Linked DNA regions of Drosophila melanogaster. The protein of the gene in region 2 purifies or fractionates together with the protein of the main gene of each other region. This does not show direct contact. Each region holds a gene or a part of one and is shown on either strand. Other genes may lie near its edges. The genes, in order: CG10418 and CG6610.

Region 1 (10,405 bases), 6.3 Mb from region 2:
CATCTGAATCGAACTTTTCCCTGTGTAAACGGCGCTCTTCCAAAGGAATCCATAATTTACGGCCATCTGGAAATGTCAATGGAAACGCCGAATTCCACCGAACACCACTATTCAATTTGGCCAAAAAGCCCCCGGAGATGTACGGATGATTCTGGAAATTCCGCAGGATTAACCACGCACACACATGTGTGTACATGTGTCATTAGAGGAATCCAGTGCATGCTGCGTATCCCTCGGAACGGCTTAGCTTCCATCCCGTTTGCATATTCATGTGCGCACTTTGGTGCGTACTTATGTATAAATAATCTGTGTCAAATTTGTATAGTTTATTTTTTAATAAAACCCGAATGATCCCAGCGTAACTTTACGAGCTAACTTTTACGCGCCACGCACAGCTCAACACGTTGATGAACTAGGACGTACTGCAGCATGTGCCCCATAAATCCCCCAGAGCTCACATCCACCCGCCGGAGCACGGGTATATTACAAAATTTTTATGTGCGCCACAGGCTGAGGTCGCCCTCCCCACTCCACCATAGCGATAGGCCAGAAACGAGGACACTTTTCCCTTTGCCAGTGCCACCCATTCCGAAAATAGAAAGTCCGATGCGGAGAAAAACTTTCTGGCCCAAAATGCAAAACAATCTTTGCGAGCCGGAGTCGGACGAACAATGCGATGCGTCTCGAAATCTCAATTTAGAAGCTGCGCCGGAAACAGGAACCCAATTACCACAAATAATGAAAGATGGACTCCGCTGGGCTGGACTTAACTTCCCCCTTCAATTATGCGCAGTCAGACGAGCTACGAGTCCTTAGCACTGACCAAAAAATTCTGACTATAACCATTCAAAAATGTAATAAAAAAGGGAGGATAATTTCAGCGATAAACTTCCGGTTTCTGGTACCATTTAAATTCAATTAAGTGGAATATTACAAGGTAAAGATTCTGATGTCAAGCTATTTTTTTTTAATAATGACATCAAGCTTAAAAAGGAATATATGTTGCTAAGCGAACTAGCTTAGGATGGCAATAATTTGTTTATAAAAATTCTATTTACAATCAAATTTGGTAACATTATATTCGAAGTAGCTATGTTTTTTTTCTGCCTGTAGCCCTTCAACTTTTAATGGATCGATATTTCGTGATGTTCCGCTGACCAACTGCCAAAGTTTAGAACGCGATTCCCTGGCCATTCCGAAATGTAAATGCCGAGCGAAAAGTGTTCCACGAATGCGTATTTTATTTTAAGTACGAATTCCAGCAAACAAAGCCATTCGATGGCGGCTGGCGAAGAGGCACTTAAGGAGCGGGTCGAGGTCCAGAAAATTAAAAGCATTCCGCCAGGCTCCTCCATTTTATTGCGGATAAAAGGTTGAATTCGAGGGCCGGGCCATAATAGCAATCACAATCGTAAAACGGGCTGCAAGTACATACGAGTATAGTCGTGTGATATAGCAACCCATTGTGGAAACCTTGTATGAATGAGTCCGTGTATCCGGTGATGTGTAGACAAGGCATCCAGACATTCAGACAGCCAGTACATCGTCACAGCAATTATACAAATTTATGGACCATTATCAACATGACACAAAATTTGGCCCACAAGCCACACTTGGCTCTACTGGCTCCATTCAAGCGTGGAGCGATAAAAGCTGGGACATTTGCGCAAGCGTAGGGAGCAGCACCCACGGTAACCTCGAGACTGACTCATCGAAAACTGATGGGCCGTAAATAACGTACATAGCGACTTAATACGGGGATTCCTCTTATTGGTTTTGCTTTAACAGAATTTCACTTAGGTTTTTAGGACAGTTTACGAAGCAATGGGTAGATCCAATTGGGCTGCTGGTAGTGGTATTCTTATCTTGTGCTCACAACAGCCTCCTTTCGCGCCGCATCCTGGAGCAGCTGGGTGTCCACCTCGTCGCCCGGCAGCTGCACGTATCGCACCACGGAGCCACGGATGAAGCAGTTCTTGACGCTCAGCATGTGGGGGTACTTGTCCGGATCTGTGACACTGATATCCGTCAGCTTGATGTTCAGGTACTGATCCACCGAGTGCAGGGTGCCACATATGCTGTTTAATTATAAAGAAAGTATTAAAAATTCCTCAATTTACCGGCAAATAAACGAATCTCACCTGAGGTCGTTTTTCAACTCCACAACGACTTCCTTGCCCACCAGCGACTTGAAGAAGGAGTAAAAGAGCTGCAGATTACATAAAGCGTTAATGTTAATTCTTAAATTCACAGTTATTTCGGTTTTGTACCATTGTTATTGTTTATTGCAATTTCGACGAACGCGTTGTTTTTTTTTAGAGATGTGCACTGTAAAAATAAAAAACTATCGATCGCTGTTTTAAAAAATACATATCGATACATTTCATGTGTGATTGTGAGTAACGATATTCTATTAACATTTGGCTTATAAATATTACTTTCATAAAATTTGATCAAAAATTAATGTATATTAAATCTTTAAACTGTGTGGCTTAAAAGGAATTAAGCAGTAGCTGAGCTGCCATCTGTTAATTATTTCTATCCATGTGGCAACGCTTTGTCGTCGCTATTGGTCGAGTTTCATAAAAGCCAGCTTTGTACGGGCAGCATTTTGGCGGGCAAAAAAATATGGTTTTTAAATAATATATTTCGGTCAATTTATGAAGCTTTACTAAGGCATTCATAGTATTCACAAAAAAAAGGTGTATATATTCGCAGTCGAGTAAATACAGTAAACGCAATAAGTTTTCTTTTTAGTTATTGTGCTCTTTATTTATTATCAAGCATCAACGCATCTTAAATGGATTTTTCGATAATACGGCAAATAAAAAATTTAAAATAAATTAGGCTGTGTAAATAAATACGAAATAAATAAATAAATATTCTTACAATTATATAAAAAAAAAATTAATTTTTTAAAATAAGAGACGATATTACCGATAAAAGACGAAGGATAAAAAATAAGAAATAAAGGAAAATCATGCGAAATAAAAATATTAACAATCGCAAGTCAATCCCAACCCATTTAAAATATTGAACGCATCCGTTAATTCGAAGATAAGATCCACAGACATTTGCAAGAATTCGGTTAAGATGTATATTTTAGGGGAACAGATTAAATTGCACTTGCTAATACAATTATTGACTTTTAAATTACATTTAATAACAATTTTCTCGGGTGGTTAAAACTATTTACAAACATAAGAGGGCGCATTGACCACTTTGCCATTTCTCAAGGAGTTATACATTTTTTTTTTTGGTTTGCCTCTAGAGTCTATACCAACAAAAAGATGTGCTGCCCGCCCCGTTTTTCTGCGCCTTCAAATCGCCAAGAATCTTAAAATTTCAATTAGCTTAAAAAAATCACATTTGATGTATCTTGTATCCGGTTCTACGACTCCAACTTAATGCGCCGAATGCGGAAGGTGCCAACTACGCGCTACGTTTTAAAGTAACAGCAAGGACCTCGCGTCCCTTTTCCATCGGATCCTGCCACTCTAACGCTAATAAATTCGTCTCTATCCCACGATCGCCTCGGTGCTTCCCTGTCATTCCAGCCAATGGCCATCTAATGCTCCGAGCTGAAGTACGAGTTCTGCATGAGATACAGCTTGTCGATGGGGTTTATCAGGCTGTTGTTCAGGTTGGCCAGCATGTCGTGGGGATTCGAGTGGGAGTGCGAGTGCTGGTTGCCCGACGAGCTGGTGGACTGCAGCTCCAGGTTGTTCAGCGACAGCGAGTCCGCATCGTCATCCAACTGGTCAAAGTTGCTCCCATCCAGCGAGAGGTCCGAGCTGCAGAAGCTGTCATTCGAGTTGGCCGGATAGTCTGTTGAAAAGCAAGCCATTAGTACTTGTAGAATAATGCTTGGACGAAATCAAACTTCAAATCGAACCACTTACCATCCGGTGAGAAGGGCAAATTGGGATTCAGCGGCTGGCTGGCGAAAGTGCTGTCCAATCCACCCAAATAACCGGAGCTATCTCCTCCGAGCTCCTGCTTGACGCACTTGTCCTCCTTGTCATTGGTGTCCTTATCGTCGGTGGCGCTGGAATTGCCCGTGCCACGCCCACTGCCCGATCCTCCGCCGGAGCCACCATTCTGCTTGGCCTTGCGCTGAATCTTCTTCATCTTGGCGCGCTGATTTTGGAACCACACCTGCACTACACGAACCGATAGGCCGGTGTCCTTGGCCAGGGCTTCGCGCACTTTGCGACATGGTTTGGGTGACTGATCGAAGGAGGCCTTAAACTGTTTGCGCTGCTGCGATGTGAGGATGGTGCGTGGTCGTTTCGGACCTCTCCTTCCATCCCGTGGCCTCAGCAAATCCTCCTCGTCCAGGCCAACGAACCCACAGTGCTGAGCAGCAGCGGCTGCCAGAAACATCTCCTTCTCCAGATCGTGACGATAGCAGAAGAGCTGGCCATCGCGCAGCATGAACTGCTCGCCCTTCTGGAGCGGCAATCGGCAGGCGTAGCAAACGAAGCAGGGCAGGTGGAAGACAAAGTTCGGTATGGGTCGCATTACCAGCTCCTGCGGCAGGATCGCATGGCAGCAGGAGGAGCACTTCACACCGAACAGCCGGTCGTAGTCCATCTTGCAATAGAGTTTCGAGTTGCGCACGTAGCAGGTGTGGTGCAGCTGCATTCCGCAGTAGCAGCAGGCCAGGCACTGCTCGTGCCAGTTGGCATCGCCCACGTTCATCAGGAATCGGTCATGGATCTTCTGGCCACAGCCCTCGCACAGCTCGAAGTTCTTCTCGCACTTGATGTGGCCCACTTCTGGGGATGAAACAAGCAAAGATGGGGGAAAAAAGTCGCGTTAGTAAGTCGCAGAATACATTTCAAGTAACTAATACACTGAGGTTTAAAATATAATAAATATATCTATCTACATTAATAATCAATTTAATCGAATATTTAACCCATACTTGGAAAATATATATGAAACATTTTCTTGAGAACAGAAATATTTCAAAGAAGAATCCTAATACTTTAGTAATTTTGTTCCAGTGTAACTCCGCTTATTCGCCCTACTGTGATGGGCGTACGTGGCGTATACGTGATGGCGGCACATGTCGCTGCGAAATTATCATGACATGTGCTGCCAATGGAGCAAGGAGCGCGCTGACAATCGAATCGTGTGAAAATGCTTCAACGTCTCTCTTGTTTTTCCGTTCGCTGTTTCGCACTTTCGATGGAAAAACAGAAGGAAAACTCTTCGCTGGAAAAAATTATCTGTCGTCGGACTGCAACAGCTTGTATTGAAAGCTTATTGATGCGTAATTGAAACGTAAAGTTTTCCGTATTTGTTCGGTATTATTGAACAGCCCCCCATCTCGATTATCAATGTATATAAACATGCCAGAAAATGGCTCAATTGATATTGTATATACCACCGAACTTAAGCCAAAGCTTAACTCCTAAACAAAGTCCCTTAAAAAATGCTAATCTCCCATTGAGGAGCTACTGGATTTCAGCTCGCCTTACCCAAAGTAGAACGAACCTAATCCTCCCGTAGACGGAGCTCTTGAAACTGTAAACCAGTCATAAAAAGTAGTACCCGAAAAACACAACAAAAGCTGCATGCAGTAAACATAAAAAATATATGACGACCGCCACGAAAAATGTATGGAAGCATTTGAAAAATGAGCAGCGAGTTGGGAAAGTGCGGAGGGAAAGTGGAGAAAAAGTGCGGAGGGAAACTGGCAATGGAAGTGGAGTGTTATATTATATGGCTGTGGCTCAGTGGCAGAAAAATGTGCATGATTTATGGTTGGCACAATGGCCTCCCCACACACACAAACGCACACAGTCGCCATATCTACGCGAATGTGGCTGTATGGGTGATATATAGTCTGGGAATAGGGACGAAAATCCCTATGTAAGGGGGCGCTAAGCCAGTGCAGCGGAAAGTTGACAATGTCCTCGGGCATTTTCCTATTTTCCTTTTTTTTCTGTTTTTTGGCTTGCATTTCATCCTATTGTGCAGTATCCATATCCAATCGCATTGGCGATAAAGGTTTTTGCATGGGCCGAGCAAAAAATCAAGAATGATTCATTTGATAAACCCCAGAGGGGAGCTGCGTTTTGAGTTTGGCCTCATGTTTTTGTAGAGCTTTGAGCATCGATATTGTGACGGGATTTCGTTTGTGTAATCTAATCGAAATTTATGGCATTTTACTGCAGTTTTATGTATGCTTTTTTTCCGATTTCTCTGTATTGTTTTGGCCAACAAAGGACTCTGCATTGAGTGAGTGTGTGTTTTTGGGCTTGAATGGTAAAGCCTGGGCGAAACTTGTCCAAAAATCAACAAACAACAAGCGCAAACAGTCGGAACAAGTGCGGCACACTCATGTCAAATACATAGATTAAACAGCAGATAAATCCAAAATCAACTCGACGATAAACATAGAACTAATAGAGAAAAGTGTCCTCGTCGTTATCGCCGATAAAGGGGCTTATCTGCCCGAACGCCCCACGATTGTCGCACTATATGGTGCATTTATTGACACATTGACAGCGGGGCGGGGTTATATGGAGATAAATCGGCAGACAGCACCCAACTTCTGGCACTAATTCGGCCACTAACTGGAGTCCAGTCCACGTGCCACGCGGATTTTGGCAGCAGTTCATCGTTGACAGGCAGCTCATAATTCGACAGCTTTCATTTCGACTGACAAACAAACAGGGTCTTTAAAACTCTTCGTTGCTATCTACACCATGGAAATGGTATTAATCATAATATAAAATAATGAATAAAATAGGATGAACTTCAAAAACTACTCTTTTAAAATGTAAGATACAGATTTAATCAAATTACAAATAGGGATTGCAAAATATATTGACTTTTGCATTCTAAACTCAAATGTAGTACTCTTTGTGAGTTCCAGTGGATTTTCCGTATAGTTCTTGAATAGCAGTTTTGTTTCAGTGTAGCTGGATCTCAACGGAAAGTGACACAGAACTATGCGTATGGCGCATACTTCCGCCACACAAATGCACACCTACTGGCGATTGGGTGGGTGGGGTTTGTGGGTAGGACAGGAAGACGAAGCTGGAGCCACCGCAGAAGCCAAATATGTATGCTGATACGCTCGGTGGAATACCTGACACTGAGTGTGCTCATTTCCGTGGTCTGCCCCCGAGTGCACACCACCCCCAATGGCAGCCCATTCGAAATTCCTCGACCTCTGCAAAGTGTGGGCCACCGATAGTAGTTTAGCAGCCGGCATCCAAGTGTTTGCCGAGGAAAATGGAGCTTAGGATGAGAGGCGGGGAGTGGTGTGTGGATTGGGGTAGTGGCACGGAACGAGCGGAAACGGAAACTATTTGCTGCCATTTGGGCAATGGCAAATGGCAAATAGCAAATGGCAGAATGCGAGCATTAATAGAAATTTCATAGGCAAATGCAAAGTTGGCCGGCAAGAGAGCACAGCTATTGTGGGCGATTGAGTGGGCGGATGAGGGGCACTAAAAAACCGAAAACACAATCCACTTAGCCTCGGACGAGGTCTGGTCTGCATATGCATCACACACATTGTTTGCACACTTTGCATTTCGGAGGGAAATTCGCAAAAGTTTTCCCCAGCAACACTTTCGTTGCAACTCAGCTGAAAAGTGTTGCCTATTTTGAGGCTGTCATGCATGCGAGTGTGTGTGTATGTGTGCCTGCATGCCAAAGCATCAGTGTGTGTGTGTGTGTGTGTGTGGGAGGGAGGCAGTGTGTGGCATGCTTTAATAGCCTTTTATTGGTCGAGCCACGCCTCTTTTTGGCCGTGCCGGGCGGATGTCAGACAGGTTCATTGTCAAAATTATTTTGTGGTCAACTTGCGTTCATACTTTTGGAAATACTTTCGCCATGCTTGCCGCACATCCGCCCACTGAACTATCCACAACATGTGTGCGCCATCACAACTACAAATTCATAATTTATTGTCCTCTGTCAATATATATGTACGTGTTAGCCGGAAATTGTGCATTTGCTTTTGCCTGTTTTTACATAAGTGGACAATCTGCCTCTGGCTATTTCACTTGCTAAAAAGTAAATCCAACTCTTTGAAAGCTGAGTTGCAATTAAGTTCCAAGTTAAACATGGATTTATGCTAATATTGATACAATAATAATTAACAAAACCTATGATATATCTAACCAAATTGACTTTACTTGCATTCTGCAAACTAAAAGCAAACTAGTAACAAATAAGAACATTCTTATTTAATGTTTTTTAAATTATTATTTACTTTTGATTTTAGGCTAATTAATATGAAGAATACTTTTCTCTTATATTATTTTAATGTTATGAATATATACGCTAATTTTTACTGCAATCAATAAATGCTGAAATATTCCGCTTAAAGAAAAGTTTCAGGAGTAAACACCTTTTGAAATAAGCACTTCAACTTTATTCGCAAGAAAAAACAACGAATATCTATATATTTTCCCCTAGAGAAGCATTCCTTGGGCCCCAAAAAGCCGAGCACATCGCACGCAAACTGCCGGCATACTCAGGTGTGGGTGGTTGTACACAATCTGGAGCCTCGTCCGACCAGCTTGGAACTCACGCAGCGCAGCACCGAACCTGGACACGGATACGGATGCTGATGCGGATACAGAAACGGACCCGCAGGCCGGGCACACGCAAGTATGCCAAAAACGAAAAGCGTGAAAACCCCAGAAGAGGAACGAGCCGGTAAATTGCTCGACTGCCGGTGCAAAATACTTTTGGAACATACCTGTGCGTCCGCTGCAATCGGCAGACAATTTGGATGCCGCTGCTGCCGATGCCGTTGCTGCACCACCTCCATTCCCATTTCCATTCCCGTTTCCATTGCCATTGCCATTTCCGTTTCCGTTGCCACTGCCATTTGCATTTCCGCTTCCTGTGGCCGCTGGGCCCGTCGATGTGGGTGTCGTCGCAGCGGCAGCCGCCGCAGCAGCAGCAGCAATCGCCGCAGCAACTGCTCCGCCTAATTGCGAGGTGGCTACTGAGGTGCCTGCTGGCGATGGAGCTGCCACAGCAGCGGCAGAGGCAGCGGCAACAGCAGCAGCTGTTAATGTGTTGCAGGCTGAGTGGAGGTTGTTGCTGCTGCTGCCCCCGTTGTTGTTGTTGTTGTTATTGTTGTGGTTGCTGTTGCTGCTGCTGCTGCTGAGGGGGCTGTGTCCTGTGGGCGTGGGGCAGCTGTTAATTGGCACTGGCGTGGTCGAGGCAGCGTGTTGCTGCTGGTGTTGCTGATGTTGCTGGTGGGGGTGTTGCTGCTGCTGCTGATGTTGCTGCTGCTGGTGCTGCTGATGCTGCCCCGTTAATGAAGCCGTTGCCGTGGGACTATTGTTGCCGGAAATGCTTGTTGGCAGATTGTTGTTGCTATTGCTAAGATGCAGGGAGTTGCCGCTGCTGGCAGTCATGCTGCCGGGATTTGGATTGTCCAGGAATCGCGCGCCGCCATGATTCTGCTGCAGCGAGTACAAACTGCCACCGACTGGATTCAGATTCGTGGGCATTGGGTAGAACTCCAGCATCGTATACGAGTTGCCACAAAACACCGCTGTTACTTTTTTAGTTTCGAGTCTACGAAAATGTCACATGCAACACCGCACAAGGAACACGCGACACACAAACAAGACGCTCGATTGCTTTTGCTTTAACTTTAACTACGCTTCTGTTCAGTTTCGTTTAGAATATGATTTCGGTGGCCTATTCTTGCGCTGCCGAATGCGAGGACAACCAGCCGCGTTCGCTGTCAGTTGGCGTGTGATCGAACCATCAGCGAAATCAAAGCATTTCACTTTGCCCTCACAAAAAAAAAAAAAAATCCCAGCTGAAACGTACCCCCGCGCACTGCGCCTGCGCCTGTTTACAAAAGCAACGGAGCGACGGAGCAACGGAGCTGCGGAGCAACAACTGCCGCTTGGCCTGCGGCAACAACAGCAGCTCTTCGTGTTGCACGTGATGCCAGGGGTTGTATCGGTGCAAGGGTTGCAGCAACCCCCTCTCTGCCCCGGCAGTGCGCATGTCTCAAGTGATTATTAGCAGCGAGGGAAATTCTGGCAGAGAGCAAGTCCCTCGCAAATCGCTGGCCACACCTCAGCCTCGCTGCGATTGGCTGGCCATTTCCCCGGCGTCCATTTTGCCGCACGGCGCATGTGCGCAGGGGAAGTGCGGGTTTTCTTTTCTTTTGTTTTTTTTTATATTTGGTTTTCTCATATTCGTAGATGTCTTGGCTTTAATGCAAGACCAAGTCGGCTTGTGGGCGGCCATCGGTGGGCGTGCGGCAGCTGCATGTTGCTGGTTGTTGCTGGTGTTGCTGCCGCTGCTGCTGCTGCTGATGGGGCACAAAGACATACTTGCACTTGCACTCGCGGCAACTTTGGCGAGTTTGCCGCTCGACGGCGACAATTTCCTTGAG
Region 2 (10,502 bases):
TTTGTGCTTATGCGTGTGCTCCTTATGCTGCCGATGACGTCTTCTTGATGGCACACAATGTGTATCGCAGCACGGACTGGCCAGATCATAGGCATCCAAGCTCACGTTATCCGGCGCCGGAACAGCTGACTTCTCCGCCGACTTCCAGCGAAAGTGACCCAAGCAGGGATTGCACGAGTGTCCCACATGGCAATGCTTGCCCGATGACTTTTCTTTCTCTGGCTTTGGTGGCTTAGCAGGTGGCTTGTGCTTTTCACAGGTGCGAGGAGGTGGTGCGGGTGGCTTCACCGATCCACCCGTGGTGCTGTGATATTGGGTAGGAGCCGTTGTTGTGGGTTGAGTCATCGAATTTGCATCCACAGATTCGGTTTGCTGGAGGACATAGCGCTGTGCCGGCGGCTGGTGATCACTACTGCTCCGCTGAAGACCCAATCCGTCAACGAATTCCTCTGAGCTGCCGTGCGTGGGTCGCAGGACGTAGCGGTATGTGGGATCCAGGTAGTGGTAGGTGAGCATAAATTGAGCGGGAGGAGGTATGATTCCTGGGCCACCGACCCCATGCTGGCGGGCGGCAATATTGGGCACATCCTCGGTGGACAAAGCGGGTCGGTAGAAGCCAGCTTCACCAGCCACCTCTGTGGGTGATACTCCTTCTCCATCACTGGGCGAAGTATTCGCATTGGCCTTCTTACGCGCTGGCAAACTGTGCGTTTTCCACTTGCCCTCCAATAACTCACGCTCTCTGAGGTGTACCCTCTCCAGTTCGTTCATCTTTTGCTGCAACATGCTCTGCAGTTGGATGTAGCGCATGTGGAGATCCACCTGGGGAATCACACGTTTATCAGAAATACGTTTTAGTTTTCTATCCTTTAAATACTTTACCTTCCTCACACAGTCCTCGAAAAGCACTACCATTCTCATCCTGGTGTCGCATTGCTTGATGAACTCGACGATGGTCTTGTGGTCCGCCTTCTCCATATCTTTTCCGTTAATGGAGAGGATTACGTCTCCCTCACGCATGCCAGCTCGATAGGCCGGACCTCCGTACTCCACGTAGTCCACGTATGTGATCATTTCCAGCTCCTCATCCCGTTTGTAGTGGATCCCGTAGCTCTGCAGCGTGAATCCATACGAGTTGTTCTTTTTCTCAACGATTATGGTGCGACGTCTTCGGTCCTCGTCCGGATTGGAGGCCAGATATCGCTCGGATTTGTGGCGCCCAAGGATATGGGTAGAACGGGATAACTGGAATGTCATTAAATATTAAACGTGCATAATATGTAATATTGTACAATAATATGGAATTCCTTTAGCAAGAACGCAATTCTCTATAGCAATTCAAACCACATTGGCCATTGGAGAGCTGTGCTCTCTATCTGTGAAAGGAATGTGTTGATTTGCGGTGAAAGTGAAAAGCTTATATGCTAAACTATCGTTGGCACTTCCGGGTATTTGCACGTCTAGGCAATGTGGCACACCAAATAGCCGCCAGGTGTGGTGGTGCAAACCATCAAAATGATGTTTGCCAAGCCCATTCCTTCGTCCCTACTGTTCTTCCTGCTTTTATTGAAAGCATTTCTATGAATACAGGATGAAGCCCCCAGCAGGCAACACTTTCACTGCCCCCCCGAAAGGAAAGCGGGTTAGATAGGGAAAAGCAAACCAACCCAGAATACAGGTACGGACAAAATAATACCATGCAAGCCATTTCCACGGATTAACAAGTTGGTAGTAGAATAAAACAAAAAACAATATTTGTAAGATAGTCAAGCTTAAAGTTTCGGAAAAGTTCATGGTATAAACAAGTGTACTAATAATATTTTTATATTTATATCGATGACACCTATTTTTAGATACAACATGCTAAGTATAGAGACACAGCACAGTTCTTTCATTAACGCTTTTTTGTGCGGGCGTAATAACTGGCTTGAAAGGCTTTAGAACAGACCTCCCGCCGACTATAATGCCATCGGCAAGGAAGAGCAAATTGTATGGCATTATGTACAGAAATACAGTGCCCGTTTTAAATGAAATTGTAAAGATTTTCATTAAAAAAGAAAACGCGGAGAAAATGAGTTAGAAAACTATAAAAAAAATGGTGCACGAATTCATCGTTTCTGCCTTATGAACGGTTTAATTCATTTGAGTATGTAAGTTTAATTCCATTAATTCTAGTAAAAACTGTGTTTAGGTGTAGTCCTCAAATTAAAGCTGTATTAACTGCATTCATTTTTATATTGTGGCTCATATCGTGACTTTAGTAGAAATTTTGACCGAGCTCCCCATTAATGGTGCTGTAAATATGGCATGCTCGCAAACATGCCCCTTTCATTTAGTGACCCATAAATTAATCCAACTGGTTAATTTTTCAAATTGCCTTGGCCAAAGTCAAGGCCCTTGCAGGGACTAAGCTGCTCGCAGGGTGTACGATATATTTCAATATATGACTATTTCCGGGGCATTGAATTATTAACACTTGATCGACGACGGCGGTTGTTGGCGGCTGTTGAGGTTGCCTGGCGAAGCGTAAACTATGCATAACGACCCGGCTGGTGGGTTAAACAGCTGTGGGGGCAGCAAATGCACTGGGATGGGAGCTAGGTTGCGCAAACCACCCCCAAGTACACCCACTCAACAAGGCAGCAAGCAACCACCATCCATCACACACCACCCAACACCGCCACCACCCACAAGACAAATTCAATTGAGCCAGCAGTGCAGGACCTTGTCGCATTATTATGACTCAGTGTGGGGCACAATTGAATTCAGTTGGAGACGATTCCGACTAGCAGTTGGATACTTGGCCACTTGGACATACCTGCGCATACTCGATTTCCTCGTCGCTGGCATCGAGACTCTTGTGGAACTTGAGCCTGCCCAAGCTGCCGGTGCCATTGACATAGTGCGACGCTTGCTGATGGCTCTGATGATAGAGGTGTTGCTGCTGGGACTGGGAATAGTGCTGGTGGGGATGTGGCTGCTCCTGCTGGCAGGCGGCGGCGATGAGGGAGCCTACAGAGGTGGCATTGGAGGCCGAGATGGACACCGCTGCCGCCGTGGTGGCCGCACTGCTGGCCGCCGTCGCAATGCTTTGGCAGCTGGTGCTCATGGGCTTGCTGGCCATCCTCCACTTATTGATTTCTTCACGCAGTCATAATTACAGGCGGATCATTCGAGCCGCTCAAATGAGACACCGACAGATACAGATACCGAAACACGGGTATCTTTCGCTGCAAAACCGGACAACCTTCACCACTGAAGTTCACACATCGACTGTGGCTGCTGCTAGATGACTGCAATTAGTCATGGCCATTCATAAAGTTCACTCCGAGTTGCGTTTATCAGTGCTATATCGGTTCTGGGTAAAAGTTTTCCATATTCGAGTTCGGTTCGGTTTTGTTGTCGCGTGAGTCTGTTTCCGCTTGGTTTGTTCCACTTCCGTCGAAGCCTGCTGCCGTACTGAACGCTGGAGGTGCCGAACGGAAGCGGGAGAACGCACGCAGAGCAGAGCGGTACTGCGGAGAGTGCACTGCACCCACACGCACGGCCAGAAGGGAAAAGCGGTTAATATTTATGGCACATGTTGACTGCTGTATCGCTGAGACCCAACATTTTGGGGATGGAGCGCATGCGCCTACTTTGCATGGCAGCCAGAGCACAAGTAGCGGTTGAATGTTAACGGAAAGACACTAAATATTTAATGTGAAGTTTGAATTTTTGAAGCTTGGAAGTCATTTTACAGAATTATTAGCGGTCGACCTTTTTCGGTATTCCATTTCAAGTGTATCCGGTCCCTATAAGCATAAAATATGCTTATTTATGTAAAATTAATTCTATTCCAATTGATAATTTAACAATGTTTTGTATATTAGGTAATATTATATAGTGTTTTATTCTGAGATTAGAGGGCAAATAATTTTCATTTCCTAAGCCAAGCGTTTTCAAATTCGTATCTGTTAGGACCAAAAATCTGTTAACATTGCTGTTAATCACTTGACCACTGCTAACTTCTAACATACCTCGAACATTTACATACGACACAATATTATCCACATTAAAACGACCGTTTTGATATTTTACAAATGTATTTATGTTTACAAATGGAACCTTGCTACTCCGCCAGCTCTCCGCCAGGCACCAACTGAAATCAAATTATAAATGAAATTTAATAAACAAACGTATGTAACTTCGAAAAAGAGCACCCACCATTGTGATATTGTTCCCGTTGAGCAGAATCTGATCCAGTTTGGTGATGCGGCGGCCGTCGGGGGTATTTTCATACTCCGTTACGTCGTCCAAGAGCATATTCACAAAGTCATCGAATCCTAAGAGAGTTCCCACCATCTCCTTGTCGTTCTTCATGATAATGTGGATGCGGGAACCGATGCATTTGTCCACCAATTCTGTAGGGTAGTACGGGAAGCCGGCAAAAGTTAGAAACTCTCGATTTGTAGACCTGTAGCAGATTTACGTACCCAATGGCATTAGGGTAGAGATGTTGGAGGGGGGTGGAACGGCAGTCATGTTGTCGTATGATTTGTTTACTATTATTAACAATAATAATTGGAATTGCGCTAAAAACTTTTTAGCAGCGAGGTAAACAATGCGGAATTCTGCGCAAAAACTGGCCACATCAAAAGTGTCAGCGTCAGTGCTGCAAAATCTTGTGGATAGAGTTAGCGTGAATATAGCTAAACGTTTAAAATTAATTAAAACATTTGTTTTCGTTGAAAACTAATTAATTTATTAATTACAAACTCATTAAAACTTTTTTATGACAAACTTATCAAGATTAACTATTTTATCGCAAGAATTTAAAGAACAATTTGTCAACATGAGGGACCTCAAAACACCCACCCAAACAGCCACCACTATTACCCAGATAGTAATGGATATTTGGCATTCAGTGCCGCGGTCCTACCAATTTTACCTCATAATTCAAGATCAGGAGTTATATATCCAAAATCTTAATCTCGCGGCAGTGCTCCCGTATGTTGGCCATCTGTGACGCGGTGCAGTGTTGTGCTGCCGCCCACTGCTTACATAATGTCCATGTCGTTGGGCTCCAAGATCCGGAAATTGGTCACCAGCAGACGGCACTTCCTGCTTTTGCGCCGATCGCTGAACCAAGGTCAGTTGATTTGAATGCGCCACAACTTTTGGATGATCATGTGATTGGGCGCTTTTGCAGATCTGACAACGGCGCTGAGACCCTTCTACTTCGCGGTGCATCCTGACTTCTTTGCCCAGCATCCGGAGCAGAGGAACACCAACGAGAACTCACTGAAATTGCTGAGTGAGCATCTAGAGGCTTTGTATGAACGCAGACAGCGAAGCGGGGACACCCAAGTGCTCAAGTTCTATGTACGCACCAGTTCAGATGCTGACAAGCGAGACTCCTTCAAGCTCATCCAAATACGCACGGACTGGCAGAGTACCCGAGATCCCAAAACCTTTATTCAAGGTCTTCTGGAGTCATGCAACTTGTCCACGGAGTATGTGAAGAACATTAAGGCCCAGCCTGAGCCGCCAAAAACCTCTGGCTTGGATTTTAAACCAAGCCATGACTATCACTATGACATGGAGTTCGCCGAGTTTGAAACTCAGTTGAAGAATGTTGGTATATAATTTTGAAATTTAAAAAACCATTTATATACTTATTTCCTTAACCCAGGAACGTGCCAGTAAGCGTCCAGTGCTGACCACCTGGCTGGAAGAGAATGCTGGCACAGCCAAACAGCGCTCTAAGGAAACTGCGGATCTGCAGGCCGAAATCGACAAACTGAAAAAAATGCTGGTAGAGAAACTGGAGTTGCAAGATGCTCGTTACGAGTGCGGCTGGAACATTGAGCACTACCGTGGCTGTTTAAAGACCCTTGAGCGACTATCCAACACCCATTTGTTGGAAATGGCTTCCCTGAAAGGTCGCATAGTGGTTTTTGCTCCCTTTACGGGCATCAGTTTAGAAGGCCATGTGATGCTTTTTACTGGTGATGTTCTCAGCACATGGATTGACTTCATCAAGAACATTCCGCACCACGATGCCTATTTAAAGGTGGTGCCCGTGTATGAACGAACACTGTCTCAGGTTCTACTGAACATCCAGATAGGTCGTCGCAAGTTTATGCCCAAACAACAGGCAAGTGGCTATGCAAGCTACCTCATGAAGGTCACCACTTCGCTCAGCGATTACCTGGGCAAACAAAAATATCCGCCGGAATGGCCGAAAACGCTGAAAGAGTTTACCATAGTGGTGGAATCAGAGGCAGGTCCTCTGATGGTAAGCCCTACGGGCCAGTTTATCACACCAGCCACCTGTCCGGGATCCATACTCGTAGACTTCATCAGTGTAAATCTGGAGCTGGCCAGGGAGCGTATGAAGAAGTACGCTCAGGACAAGCACATCGAGCAGGAGCTGATGGACTCGTGCATAAAGCAGCTACAGTTGCAATCGCTGACCAAAGATGATGCCATAACCCCGGATAAAATGATAACATCCCTTAGAGATTTATACCAGCTTCAGTTGAAAGAACTGCAGGGATGCAAGCTTCACATAACCCACTACTATTCGGTACTGACCGACGGCGTTGTGTGCATACCCTGGGATTTTCTGCAGAGGTAGTTGGATTTTCTCATGTGCCTTATTAGTCAAAATAAACATAGTAATAATTTATAGTTATTATGGTCTGAAATCCCTTCTCACTTCCAGTTAAGCGGCATCGCTGCAGTCTTCGAGGCTCCAGGTGCACTCTGCCTGATGAGCTGAGAACTCCGATGCATGTCTTGTGTAGACGTGATGCTCCTCGCCATCCCAGTGCAAAGGATCGCCACCGCACAGAACAGAGTTTTCAGTGGCAGCATCGTAAAAGGCAATCCCTCCATTTCCATATACCACTCTCCACCAGTTAATGTTGGGTCGGCTGTAAACGTTTTTGGTAATCGAGTTGGTTGCATTGCTCGCAATTGCAGTGGCTGGTTCCATGAGGATGTAGCGACTACGCCAGAAGGCACTATAAAAAGCAAATTGCGGCCGGCTGTCGTTACTGTGACCACGTTGGATGAAATACGCAGCCTTCTTTGGATCTCGAGCGTTACTGCAGATGAGGTACGTCTGCGGGCATTCGTAAATGTACGAATTTTCTTCAGTCACATTCCGGATGCATACTTTTCGAGCGGTGTACAGCAGTTGCTCGTCTTTCGGAAGGTGTGCATAGATTTCCGATTGGAGGGATTTTGCAACTTCTTTTTCAAACCCAGGCTGCGAAAGCAAATTTCTGATGTTGCTCTGCAGGGCCTTTTGCACTTCGGGATTTCCACGTTTGAGTTCCTCCCTGCTAAGTAATTGAAGATTAGCTTGAGCCAATTGCCTCAAACTAGCCGTTAAATTTCCCAGGCGCTGCACTACACTTAAAGGTGTTTCTAGGGCCAAAACAGCATCGTAGAGAACTTCCAGAATGTCTCTCAGATAATCCAAAGTGCTGAATGTTAGACGATTGACCAGAGAGTTTACCAATGGAAAAGTGGCCAATCGACTGGCTGTGTGAAATGGAGCTTCCAATAACTGGGCACTTCGGCTGATGAAAGCCCGGTAAATATGATCCATAAGTTGGAGTGGAACATCAGTGTGCACAGCCAGCTGGTCATAAAATTCTAAAATCTTTAGGGGATCGTAAATCTGCTTGGTCTGCTGGAGCTCCTTCCACAACGCTGTGTAAATAGCCTGCTTGAGCTCCAAAGTTCTGGCTTGATTCGCTAATTGAAGGACTAGCCTACCCCGCTCCCAGTCACCTCCAACTTCAGAGCGAATTACTGATTCCAGGTTGGAAGAAGTTGGATTATCCTGGGCCACAGCAGCTGCCTCATTTCGCCAGACATCGATGTGGTATAGCAACTCTTGAACCGGAGCAGATGTGTTGAGAACCGTCAAGAGTTTGCTACTGCTATTTTGTAAATTCAAATCCAGGGCGCCAGAAAGGCCAATGCCCATGAGAAGGACTAGCCAAGCGGATGAAGATGCCATTTTGGCTGTACTGGTTGGATGCACTCGAATGGTGACGCTTATATAGGTAAGTGGAGAATCGGTACTTATTTGTAGTTCAATCGGATATTTACATGGGGATTTGGTTGTTGACCCTTGTGCCAATAAATGCATACAACGTTTAATTGCATTTTGCACTTGCAGAGAAGCTGATAAACACAATGATCATAAACGGTTAAGCGTGTATATATTGCATAACTTTATCGGGGCTTTTCGTTAAAATAGCCGAAAAGATGTACTTAGAGATGGTGATCTAAATTAGAAACAAATTTATGGAGGTGTTTATTTTTATTAGTGTTACCATTTTTATTATTAGTATTTTATTTGAATTAATAAAGTATAATTTGTTTTTTTTTTATAAGTTAATCGTTTTAATACTATTAATTTATTCTTGGGCTTATTTTTAAAATTTTAGCAAATGTAAAATGTTTCTAGAGTTTGTAAGGTTCGAAGCCGAATTTGATTTCCGGTTTAGAACCCGGGTTCTGTAACAAATTTCGTTATTAACATGCATTTTACCTACTTCTTACCCTCATTATACCCGTTTCTCGTTGAGTGATAATTGGGGAACTGGACTTTTGGTTCTTTAATATTTTTAATTTATTTATTGTTTGTAGAGGCGCATAGAATTTCTTATTTCTAGTATCACAAAAGTCTATAACAACACTTAGAGGCTATTTGATGCTAAAAATGCAAGGTAGATCTATAGAATATTGGCTGCTATAAGTAACAATTAATTACCTAGTCGTACATCTTAGAGCTTTGTGGAGTTGCGTGACTTGGTCGATCTGCGCAGGATGCTAGATCTCAGTTCTCCACCCGTTGAGGCATTCAGGGATGCTCCAGTCTGGGTTCCCCTCACAAAAGCCTGAGATCGGACCTCCTCCACGTCGGCGTTTCTCTTTTCATCCTCATCGTCGTCCACCTGTTTGGCCAGACAGGGGAAGTCCCAAATGCTTTGTCCACGTCCAAACTCCTCACCGTCGCTAAGGGTTTGTGGCAGGACATGATTTAGGGTCTCCGGCAGTAGGAGCGCCAATAAGCCACCAATAATTCCTAAAATTCCAAGGATAATCAGTGGCAGGGCTTGGGAAATGTTGGCCAGATAAACCACAAATGGTGCTATGATGCTGGCCACATAACCCATGATATGGATGAAGGCCACTGCCTGCGCCCTAACCACAGTGGGCAGGACCTCCGCCGCCCATTGCAAACCAATATTATAGCTAATGTTTACAAAGAATCGACCCATGATGGCCAAGGCAGCGGAGTATATGCCCACGGGCACCACAGTGGCCAATAAGCTGAACACTCCACTAAGGACCATGGAGCTGCAGGCCAACCAACGGCGTCCGAACCGATCCAGGATCACCGTAAGCAAAGTATCGGCGGGCAGCTCCGTGAAACAGGCCAGGGTGAAGGTGAAGAAGATGTCCAAACCCAGTGATCCCACATTCCTCACATGTCCATCGAAGACTAGGGATATGGCCATCCAGATAACAATAAGCAGCAGAGTAGTTCGCCGCAATCTTGGTGACTTAAAGAGATCCAGTACAGAGTATTTGCCATTCTGGGCCTCCTGCTCCTGCATCCTCTTACAGCTGTCCGTAAAGATTTGATATGTCTGAGGGGGCACCTGACGCCCATTGCCCTTCTCAAGTTTCTTCAGGATTCCCACGGCCTTGTCCACTTTTCCCTGGGAGACTAACCAACGAGCTGATTCGGGTACCACGAATGGGGTGAATATAGCCAAAAGTAGCGGAGCAGAGGTCACGATGGCCAGGAGTTTCCAATCTGCCAAAAAGTAGGCAATCCAGGGAAGAAGGCAGGCGGCTCCAGTGAAGAAGATAGCGATCGACATATTGGCCACAAAGGTGCGGTACTTGGGACCAACGTACTCGAGAACTGGAAAGAAGTGAAACACAAACAATAAACTCAGTCTAGCATTATTTTAAGAGTTAGCTGGTTCTACATTATGTCAGACAAATTTTAATAACTCCACAAAAAGAGGTTTATGTTTGTACATTTACATTCTGCAATCACGTGGTCACTTTGAGTACAACAATTTGACTTTTAAAGTTCAAAAAACTTTCAGAAGAATGGTTAACTGAAGGGTAGAGATTGTTGAAAAAGTGAATCATTGAACATATTCACATTCTAATTGAAGGCCATTCCAAGTATACAATATTTTTTGTTTTAAATTTAATTTCAAATAAATAATAATAGAACTCACCCAATATGTACATCATTGTGAAGCAGTTGTCAAAGGCGAATCCGACGAAGAATCGCATGATAGCAAACTCCCAGAAGTTGCTGACAAAGGCAGTGCCCACGCCGGCCAGGAGACCCATCATATTGGTGCCGATCAGGGCGGGAATACGACCAAACCGATCCGCCACCCAGCCAAAGAGCAGTCCTCCCACGATGGCGCCCAGAAAGAATATGGACTGGGCGTAGGTGGGCA

What was found.
Region 1: the proteins of CG6610 (region 2) and CG10418 purify together in Drosophila melanogaster (affinity purification with mass spectrometry, with the first as the bait; one large-scale study listed by BioGRID). This does not show direct contact.

Annotation. Positions count from the first base shown.
Region 1 is NT_037436.4:12,328,583-12,338,987, reverse strand, and holds CG10418 (uncharacterized protein), read right to left. Parts: upstream 2,313-10,405; 5' UTR 2,274-2,312; coding exon 2,271-2,273; intron 2,210-2,270; coding exon 2,142-2,209; intron 2,079-2,141; coding exon 1,862-2,078; 3' UTR 1,752-1,861; downstream 1-1,751. Other genes in the region: Lmx1a (LIM homeobox transcription factor 1 alpha), read right to left, coding at 3,569-3,828, 3,903-4,781, 8,735-9,518.
Region 2 is NT_037436.4:6,069,662-6,080,163, reverse strand, and holds CG6610 (uncharacterized protein), read right to left. Parts: upstream 4,629-10,502; 5' UTR 4,525-4,628; coding exon 4,476-4,524; intron 4,404-4,475; coding exon 4,207-4,403; intron 4,142-4,206; coding exon 4,112-4,141; 3' UTR 3,906-4,111; downstream 1-3,905. Other genes in the region: ssp6 (short spindle 6), read right to left, coding at 1-822, 883-1,245, 2,819-3,124; CG13295 (uncharacterized protein), read left to right, coding at 5,047-5,131, 5,192-5,616, 5,675-6,622; CG6602 (uncharacterized protein), read right to left, coding at 6,710-8,020; CG42269 (uncharacterized protein), read right to left, coding at 8,793-9,943, 10,272-10,502.